Linked DNA regions of Coturnix japonica. The main gene of each other region encodes a partner of the protein of the gene in region 2 in a complex. Links are inferred from orthologs where the notes say so. Each region holds a gene or a part of one and is shown on either strand. Other genes may lie near its edges. The genes, in order: PDE6D and RHEB.

The links.
Region 1: the proteins of RHEB (region 2) and PDE6D are in contact, whole or in part, in a crystal structure (PDB 3T5G), measured with the Homo sapiens proteins. The link is inferred for Coturnix japonica from reciprocal best matches to the Homo sapiens genes RHEB and PDE6D. Residues at the interface, in NP_005605.1 of Homo sapiens: Pro2, Gln3, Ser4, Gln57, Asp77, Gln176, Gly177, Lys178, Ser179, Ser180, Cys181; in NP_002592.1 of Homo sapiens: Ile53, Leu54, Cys56, Val59, Val80, Gln85, Cys86, Leu87, Glu88, Glu89, Trp90, Ile109, Glu110, Ala111, Ala112, Pro113, Gln116, Met117, Met118, Leu123, Tyr149.

What each region holds. Positions count from the first base shown.
Region 1 is NC_029524.1:13,401,738-13,406,282, forward strand, and holds the start of PDE6D (retinal rod rhodopsin-sensitive cGMP 3',5'-cyclic phosphodiesterase subunit delta), read right to left. Parts: upstream 2,900-4,545; 5' UTR 2,783-2,899; coding exon 2,733-2,782; intron 1,171-2,732; exon of another isoform or gene 1-1,170. Other genes in the region: COPS7B (COP9 signalosome complex subunit 7b), read left to right, coding at 3,438-3,818. UniProt on the Homo sapiens protein: Promotes the release of prenylated target proteins from cellular membranes. Modulates the activity of prenylated or palmitoylated Ras family members by regulating their subcellular location.
Region 2 is NC_029517.1:5,599,768-5,604,048, forward strand, and holds the start of RHEB (GTP-binding protein Rheb), read right to left. Parts: upstream 2,809-4,281; 5' UTR 2,519-2,808; coding exon 2,467-2,518; intron 1-2,466. UniProt on the Homo sapiens protein: Small GTPase that acts as an allosteric activator of the canonical mTORC1 complex, an evolutionarily conserved central nutrient sensor that stimulates anabolic reactions and macromolecule biosynthesis to promote cellular biomass generation and growth.

The DNA.
Region 1 (4,545 bases), on a different chromosome or scaffold from region 2:
AGGGTTAACATTCTGATGCTCTTCTGTGAAAGAGCAAATAATACAGGTGATATCTTGCCTGAATTGTAAGTTTTAAAATAGAAAATGGGTATGTTTACTTAGTACCTTAACCATGCTACAAGAGTCAGCTGGCTTTGCTGAACTCCTTTCTCCTTGCTGGTTAGAGATCAATTAAAACACCACTCTGCAGTTTGATGGAGAAACTGCCCCAGTTCAGGAGGAAGCTACAGAGGGAGTGACAGAGCACAGAGCAGAGTCAGACCGAATGCACTTGAGATTACAGGACCAGCTGTGTATAAAAGCTTGTGGAAATGAAGCTCAGTAATTACTGATGCTTTCCTTTGGAATATTAGCTAACTGAACTGGTATTACTTATGGACAAGCAACTAGAATGTATTCTCAGAGTGCCAGACCACCAAGATGCTGTATTTTAAGCAGCATCCTTAGAACAGTGAGTTGATGAATGTACCTGAGAGGTCTGATAACAAGTACTGTCTCTTAGGAAGTGACAAGCTATAGAAGATCTTGATGGTTGCTTTCCATCTCTTATCGTAACACATTAACTACGCTGTTGGTGTTTAGTTTACTGGTGCCATAAAAAAATCCTAGTGTAATAAAGTGGGAAACCTCTTTTGTCTGCAAGTATCAAATATTTCTCCTTTCGGTTTTCATCTTCTTAAGTAACAAAGTCTATGGGAAGAGGGAGTAAAATACCCTGGTCTGAATTTGACGCTAGCCACAACATGCTTCTGTGCTAGTGTCATAAAGGAAGGGAAGCATATCTTGGTGCTAAGTCAGAGGGTGGATTTAGGCTGTAATTTAATGTGCACAGCAGCATGTCCCAATCAGCTTGAAAGCCTGTAGTTAGTCTCTTCTCAGAAACCACAAATGAACAGACTTTAGTTGAGGGTGCTCCAGTACTCAATGCAAACTCCATTTCCAAAGTGTGTGTTCTTGCATTCAAGTGAGAAAACTGATTCCTCAGTGATGCCCTCTACCAAATAAACCTACCTTGGATATACTTATTTCTTTTTATGCCATACCTAAAGTACTGCTGTGATGGCTTCTGGTGCTAACAGCAAGTTTGCAGGGTGTGCTCCTTCCTTCTTGGGAGGAGGAAGAAGTTCAAGTACTCCAAATATAAACCTGAGAGCTTCCCGGAGGATGTTTCTCTCTTCCTTTCTTATTGAGGGCACCAAGTTAACACATACTTCAGCACAGGGAGCAGAAGATAAAGCATCTCTTTCAAATGTACTGTTTTAGAATACACACTGTCAAAAAAAGGAAGCCTGAGCTGGTGGCTGCCTTACAGAGAATGAGGCCACATCTGGGCACGAACTGCTTCCTGTGTGGATGCTGTGGTGTCTCAGGGCTTTCTCTCATAAATGAGGAATGCCTGCTCTGTCACTTTCCTTCTAATACTTGCATATTATTCAACTATCTCAACTCAAGAAATCCCATCTATGCAATACATCGATAAATACTTTCCTGATTTTCCAATCTGAGCTATTGAGGTTTACCTTTAACACCAGGTCAAGAAACATTTTCTATTTAAGTTACCAAACAATGGAAGTGATTTTTCATCCATAGCTGGACACAGACCTTCATTCAGATTCTGCTTCTGGCAAAGCACGTGCACAAACCAGTAGAAACAAACACGTGAAAGTCTGTACCTTAAGTTTAACTCTCCAACCCTTCTCATCTCTACCAAAAGCTCAGTCTCATCTTGTCAGGAGCTTATGCTTTTCCTAATTACTCGCACAAAACACGCTTAAATTGTGTTTTGACAGCCAAAATCTTACAGCTCCACAAACAAAAAGAACTGTCAATATTACCAGTGCAGAAGCAAAGGAACCAGCTGCAGAACTAAAAGCTGGGGGGGAGGGGACAGTGATTCATAAGTTCAGCAAAGCATCTGCCAATAGTTTGATAGCAGCTGAATCCAACTGAGTAACTCAGATTCTGCTGCAGCTGGCACAGAGATTAGCAGCACCTCGCTGGCCAAAAATATGCTCAGGAATAACAGCATTGGAGCAAGAGGGGTATTCACTTTGGTTCTGTCCTTTCATTCGCTTTGGTTCTGTCCTTTCATTCGCTTTGGTTCTGTCCTTTCATTCGCTTTGGTTCTGTCCTTTCATTCACTTTGGTTCTGTCCTTTCCATTATGGGGGGAAAAAAAATACAGCCACTGGTTTTCTTGCCCCTTAAGGCCAAGCTGGCACCTGCCCACTATGCGCAGTAGAATCTGCTACGGTAAAATCAGCTGTACACATCTCCCACCCTTACACACACACAGACCTATGCGCTGAGCCGTCATTCCCCCCCCCCATCCCCAAGGTTGCAAGGCCGCACTCAGGACCCTCCGCTCCCACTTCTGCTTCACTGCACCGGCGTTAAACTGGTGCTCGCCCAGCACGCCAAGCGACAAGGCGCAAACTTTCATCGCGTACCGCAGACAGACGCGTTAACAACCGGACTCGGGCAGCGCTGACGCCTCAGGGCCCGGCACGACGCAGCAGTGCCCGCTCGGAGCCCCGCGCTGCCCCCGGCCCAGCGCCCAGAGGGACGGACCCGCAACGCGAGGCCGAGAGGGGGACGCGACACAACAGCCCCGTGTGTGGCAGAGCTGCCATGACAACCGCCCTCACACAGGGAAACCCCGGTACCCAGCCACCCCCCCCCTTTTCCCCCAGCCCCGCCCGCCCCCCCCTCGCTCCCCCTCGGTGAGGATACAGCTTGAAGCCCCTCAGGATCTCCTTGGCCCGCTCGTCCGTGGCCGACATGGTCCTGCCGCGCCGCGCCGCGGGCTGGGCGGGCTGAGCGGGCTGTCCTGGCTGCGCGGGGCCTGGCCGGGAGCGGCGCTGACAGCGGCGCCTCACGACCCCCCGCCCCGCCCCCTCGCACTCCCTCGCACCCGCCACCGGCCGAGGCAGCCAATCCCAGCGGCCGCTCTCCCCGCCCCGACGGGACAACCAATCGCGAGCCGCCGACGCCCCTGCTGGTTGATGAAGGACAGCGGGATGGACCAATCGGACGGCGCGTCCTCCCCCTCCGTTGATATAAGGGCGGCTGCGCAGCTTGTTAAGGCGCTGGGCCCGGCCGGGGCTGAGTGACGTCGGCGGGGACGGGAGGCGGCGCGGGACAAACCTCGCCCGGCCCCATTGGGGACGCGTGTCCGGTGCCGGCCGTTCGTTAATACGTTAACACGGCTTATAACAGTCTGCGTGCGGGACGACAACTGGGGGCTCCGCGTACACTGCCACAGAGCTCCTCAACAGCACTGCCACGCTGAGGAGAGAGAACCGCGAGGCGTCGAACATACGAGGGCACAGCCTATGAGTGCCATTAACGGCACAGCCTATGAGTGCCATTAACGGCACAGCCTATGAGTGCCATTAAGGCTGGCGGTGGGCAGCGCTGACCGCCCCGTTAGCTGACATGGAGCAGCCTTGTTGTGTTCTGGATAGCCCGGCGTTACCCAGTGCGTCCAGAGAAGGGCAGAGAACGCTCCCGAAGAAAAGCTGGCAGGGAGACAGGGAGAGCGCAGGCAGCAGCAGAGCTGGAGAAGGCCAGAGCGAGCGGTTGTGTGTGAGGGAGAAGCCTGCGGGGCAGAAGTACAGCATGCTGCTCTACCCACAGCACAGGGGGCTCCGAACCGCCCCGCTTAGGGCTACAGGGAGGTGGCAGCCAGACAGAAGCGGCTCTCGCAGCGAGCAACGGCAGCGAAGGGCTCCTGACACGAGAGTGTGCCCTGATGTCGGTGTTGGGGCCTTTGTGGTTCTGACATGGGTGCCCAAACTCTCCACGCTGTGTGAGGAGGTACGTGCTTGGCAGCCTCTGCGTCTCAGCTTCAAAAACCACCCATTTCCCCTCCTAAAACTAGGGAAGAAGCGTGTGGTGGGACAGTGTAACTCAGGAGGTTCAGGTTGGATATCATGAATAGGTTCTTCAATTAGAGGTTGGTTGGGTGCTGGAGTTCAAAAAGCACCCGCGCAGTGCTGTCAAACACATGATCTGAGTGGTTCTATGTGGAACCAGGAGTTGGGTTCAGTGGTTTTTATGGGTCTCTTCTAGTTTAGGATATTCTGTGATTCAGAGTGACAGAAACCTTGAGTTCTTTCCTCTCAAAATACTTTCTCTTGCAAGAAAATTGCAGCAAGTCTCACTATTCCCTTGAACCATTTTGTTCTAAAAACCTCACCTTTGCTTTTACACCTCTGGCAGGCATCACAGTCTCTGAGCTGTCACTGCAGGTGAGGAGACACCTCCAGCCTCCTTTCTGCCTCCCCAAAGCACATTGCAATGCTCTTCTCCAAAGGTACTGCTACAAGAGCTTGTGTCCCAGGGAGACGGGCTCATAAGCTGAGGTCTTCTCCCATCTGACACTTGATGGAAGGGGTCAAACAACTGCATATGTGCCACCATCCAGATGTGTCTTTCTCATGGTCTGCGTGAAGTGAGAGATGGTTAGCCTCTGGATCCTGGGAAATGTAGAGTTTAACAGAGTAGACAGTTGCTTTAGCAACTCTTGGGTGTCCCCATCACC
Region 2 (4,281 bases):
CAGACTGCAGGGTCAAAGCTAACGTTAAGGTTAATGGCAGTTCCCTATTTATAAAAGGAAGCTCAGAAGCCTTCAGCAGCCCTTCAGATCTTGGAATTAATTATCCCCCACCCCGACAAAAACTAGCTCTGTTCAAATGTAACATCCCTTATTTCATCTGGGATGGGATCCTGTCTTTTACCCAGGGTTCAAGTGGAATTCATGCCATCGTGATATCAGACTTACCTATAAGTCTATCTGAAGCCAAACCATGCTGTTAATTCTCCTGGACTTTGCAAGGCATCCTTGGGTTGACTTCATGTCATGCTCTATGTTTCTTGTTTATCTGACAGCCCTACATGACAGAACACCCAACAGCTCACGTCTATTGCTGGATCTTTTATGTAAATATTTGCCTAGAAACGTAAAGCTCCCATACTTAACTCTGTGGCTTAAACATGCAAGATTTATACCTAAGAACAAGCAAGGCAACAGAGTTGTCATGGTTAATGAAAGGCAAACTATTACTTCTCTTCTGTATGTCTACAACAAGCAGTTGTCCTAATGGAACAGACCATGTCCCACAGAGCCCCAAACCACATCAGTCTCATGAAGCTGCAGGTGAAGGAGCACAGTAGTAAACCCTAATGGGCAGGAGGCAACTTTCTGCTCACCTCCTTCTATACAAGCACCAAATCATCCTGGGTCACACCAGCAATGGCATTAATAATGGCTATGTGCAATGTGTGCTGTCAGGCTCAATGGATCATCTACCCCTGGACCATCCAATGTACTGAATTGACAGCGTTCCTCCTACCCACACACACTGCCCAGTGCTTGTTTGAGTCCGGACTCGGAGAAGAAAACATAAGGAGACAAGCTCCGAGGCTGACTGTGCCGTATTAGACACCCCATGTGAACCACCAACCTCCTGCAGGCTGCTCCCTTCCAGCACCATACAGACACAGCACTGTTTATCCAGCCTTGAAGCCAGGCTGCTGCTACACACACAGCATCTAAACAACTCATGTAACCTTTTTTAATCTTGGGAAAAGCAAAAGGCGTTGTTACGGATGCTGAGTGTGCGACCGCAGACACACCACTCACAGCACAAACCCTTCAGCAGCACAGCGGCACCTTCCTACAGCAGTTTATTTCCCAGCCACTCGTTATCCTTCCCATCGATCTACGCTTTTAAGTCAGATCGATGCCGAGCCGCACCGCTCCATTCGTGCCCCACGACGCTGAATCTGGTGGGGCTGTAGAGCAGCTCCCGGCTTGGATGGCGCCGGGAAGTTCTTTCCTTCAGTGTTGCCGTACGATCACAGAATCACAGAATGACCCGGGTTGGAAGGGACCTCAAGGATCATGTAGTTCCAACCCCCCTGCCTGGCAGGGCCACCAAACATACACCTTTACTAGATCAGGTTGCCCAGGGCCCCGTCCAACCTGGTCTTGAACACCTCCCAGGACGGGGCATCCACAACCTCCCTGGGCAGCCTGTTCCATGGCCTAACCACTCTCCTAGTGAAGAACTTCCCCCTAACATCCAACCTAAATCTTCCCTCTTTTAACTTAAAACCATTTCCCCGTGTCCTGCTATTGTCAGCCCTTTCCAAGAGTTTACTCCCCTCCTGGGTGTAAGTTCCCTTCAGGTATTGAAAGGCTGCAATGAGGTCACCCCGCAACCTTCTCTTCTCCAGGCTGAACAAACCCAACTCCCTCAGCCTGTCCTCATAGGGGAGGTGCTCCAGCCCCCTGATCATCTTCCTGTCCCTCCTCTGGACCCTTTCCAAAATCTCCCATGTCTTTTTTGTACTGAGGGCTCCACACCTGGACACAGTACAACAGATGGAGCCTCACAAGAGCCGAGTAGAGAGGGACGATCACCTCCCTATCCCTGCTGACCACCCCTCTCCTGATGGAGCCCAGGATCCCATTTGCTTTCCGGGCTGCCAGAGCGCACTGCTGGCTCATGTTGAGTCTCTCGTCCATCAGGACCCCCAGGTCCTTCTCTGCCGAGCTGCTCTCAAGGACAACTCCTCCCAGCCTGTACAGGTGCCTGGGGTTCTTCCTGCCCAACTGCAAAACAGTGTTGAACCTCATTAGGTTCAACATAACCCCCGAGCCCAGCTTTCCAGCCTGTCGAGGTCCCTCTGAATGTCACCCGTTCCCTCCACCGTATCGACCGCACCACTCAGTCACTCCCGATCCCGGCACCGCAGCGCTCCGTACGTTCATCCTACACGTCTACAGACAGAGGAAACGGGCACAAAGCTCCGTACACCCCGCTGTTCCCCCCCCCCGTCCCGGTGCCGTCCCCTGTCCAATTAAGGGCACAGTCTCACGTTGGCTCCCGGGCCCGCAGCGCTCTGCGGCGCCGCCATGGCGCCTCCCGGCCGCACTGCGCGGGGCCCGGCCCAGCCCTGCACCTGCCACCCACCCACCCACCCGTTCCCATTTCGTCTCCCCCCCCTTAACACTCACCTACGCTCCTGTAGCCCAGGATCGCGATCTTACGGGATTTGGACGGCGGCATCTTGTCCCCCGCCCGGCCACGAACCACATCAAGGGAGGAGGCGGACGAAGAAGAGGCGGAGGGCGGCGGGAGGCTGCGTGTGCGCCGTCAGCCTCATGCGGCGCTGGTTGTTGTTATGGGGGGGGGGGGGGGGGGGGGGGGGGGTTGGAGGGCGGCGGCGATCGATGGGCCGAGAGCGCGGAACCCGCGGCGGCAGCGCCCGTCCCCTCACGTAGCGGTGCGTCACGCGTCACAGGCCGCAGCGCAGCACGGACCGACCGACCGCCCCCACCGCCAACACCGCGCCGACTGCCGGCTGCACAAACCCGCTGCGTCATGCCGGCCCACCTCACGCCCCGCCGGGCGCTGATTGGGCAGTTGCTCGCGGTTAGAGGGCGGGGATTGGATGAGATCGGTTTTCAAAGAAAGGAGGCGGGGCTAAGGGGATGCGTGGGAGGGGATTGGTTGGATGGGGGTTAAAAGCCGCGCGTGCGCCGTGGTGCGCCTCCAGACGGCGGTTGGGTTGTGGGGTGTGAGGGGCTGAGCGGGGCGGGATCACCTCAGTGTGACTGTCCTCCACAGGAAGGAGTTAGTCCTAACCTCAACATGAACCTCTACTAGTGCCATGGGACCATCTTATAGGCTTCATGGAGATCACCCAGCTGCAATGCCCTGCCATGGTTCACAAATGGTACCTCAGCCCCCAGATCAGGCCGCCCAGAGACCCCATCCCACCTGCCCTATAACCCTGTGGGTTACGGGATCTCCTGCCCTACAACCCTGTGGGTTACGGGATCTCCTGCCCTATAACCCTGTGGATTACGGGATCTCCTGCCCTATAACCCTGTGAGTTACAGGATCTCCATGGCTAAGTAACCTGTATCATAGCACTTCTACTTGGGATAAGTCTTAGTGCTTTCCTGCCGTGCTGAGGTTGTGGCTTCCCAGCAGCAGCATTAGCAATAGGGCTTCCCCTTTGCCCCTCCCCAGTGCTAATCCAGCATCTTCATTCCTAGAGTGTTTTACCCTGTGAGCTACAAAGGAGTTCAGAGAACGCTGCAATGAGTGACTGACACCAGTACAACCAATCGTTGGTGAGTTATAATCGTTTTATTATAAACGACATCCCAACAGATGCGGTCAACGAATGCAATGGTCTGGGTTCCAAAACAAAGAGTGCCGGCACAAATAGAGCGTGTATATACACTGAGATCAGGAACAGATGTTGAGGCTGAGAAATGGGAAAGCATCGGCCTTTTGTTGCCTGTGTCTGCGATGAATTTCCTCTAGGAAACGTAACCCAGCAGTTCAATGTTTTTATGGCAATTCAGTGCATACGAACCCATGGACACAGCGCTACTCAAGTTCCAAATGCAAAACACATCTGGCTTGTACATTCAGTTCCTATAAAAGCAATTAGCACTTTAATTACCTGCTCGATCCTCTGGCCAACCAGCACCTACTGGAGGAGCTATTTGAACTGCACCCAATGTTAGCACTGGGTGTGCTCCCATATGTATGGCTGCCCACTGAGGTTAGAAAGTACACTCAGTTCCATCCCACACTTGTCCCTGGCCCCTCATGGATTCGACAAAGATCATCTTTCTCTAATGTCTGCTTAGAAATACTGACAAAAGCATCGTCTGCAGAACATTCTTGTTTTGCATAACGCACGTGATGTGGATCCAAGGGTACTATGAAGCTATTCAGAATGATATTTTCTCCTGTAGGTTACCCTTAGCAAACATTAAATGTGGGAGGTGTGAAGGTTCTGAAGCAAACTG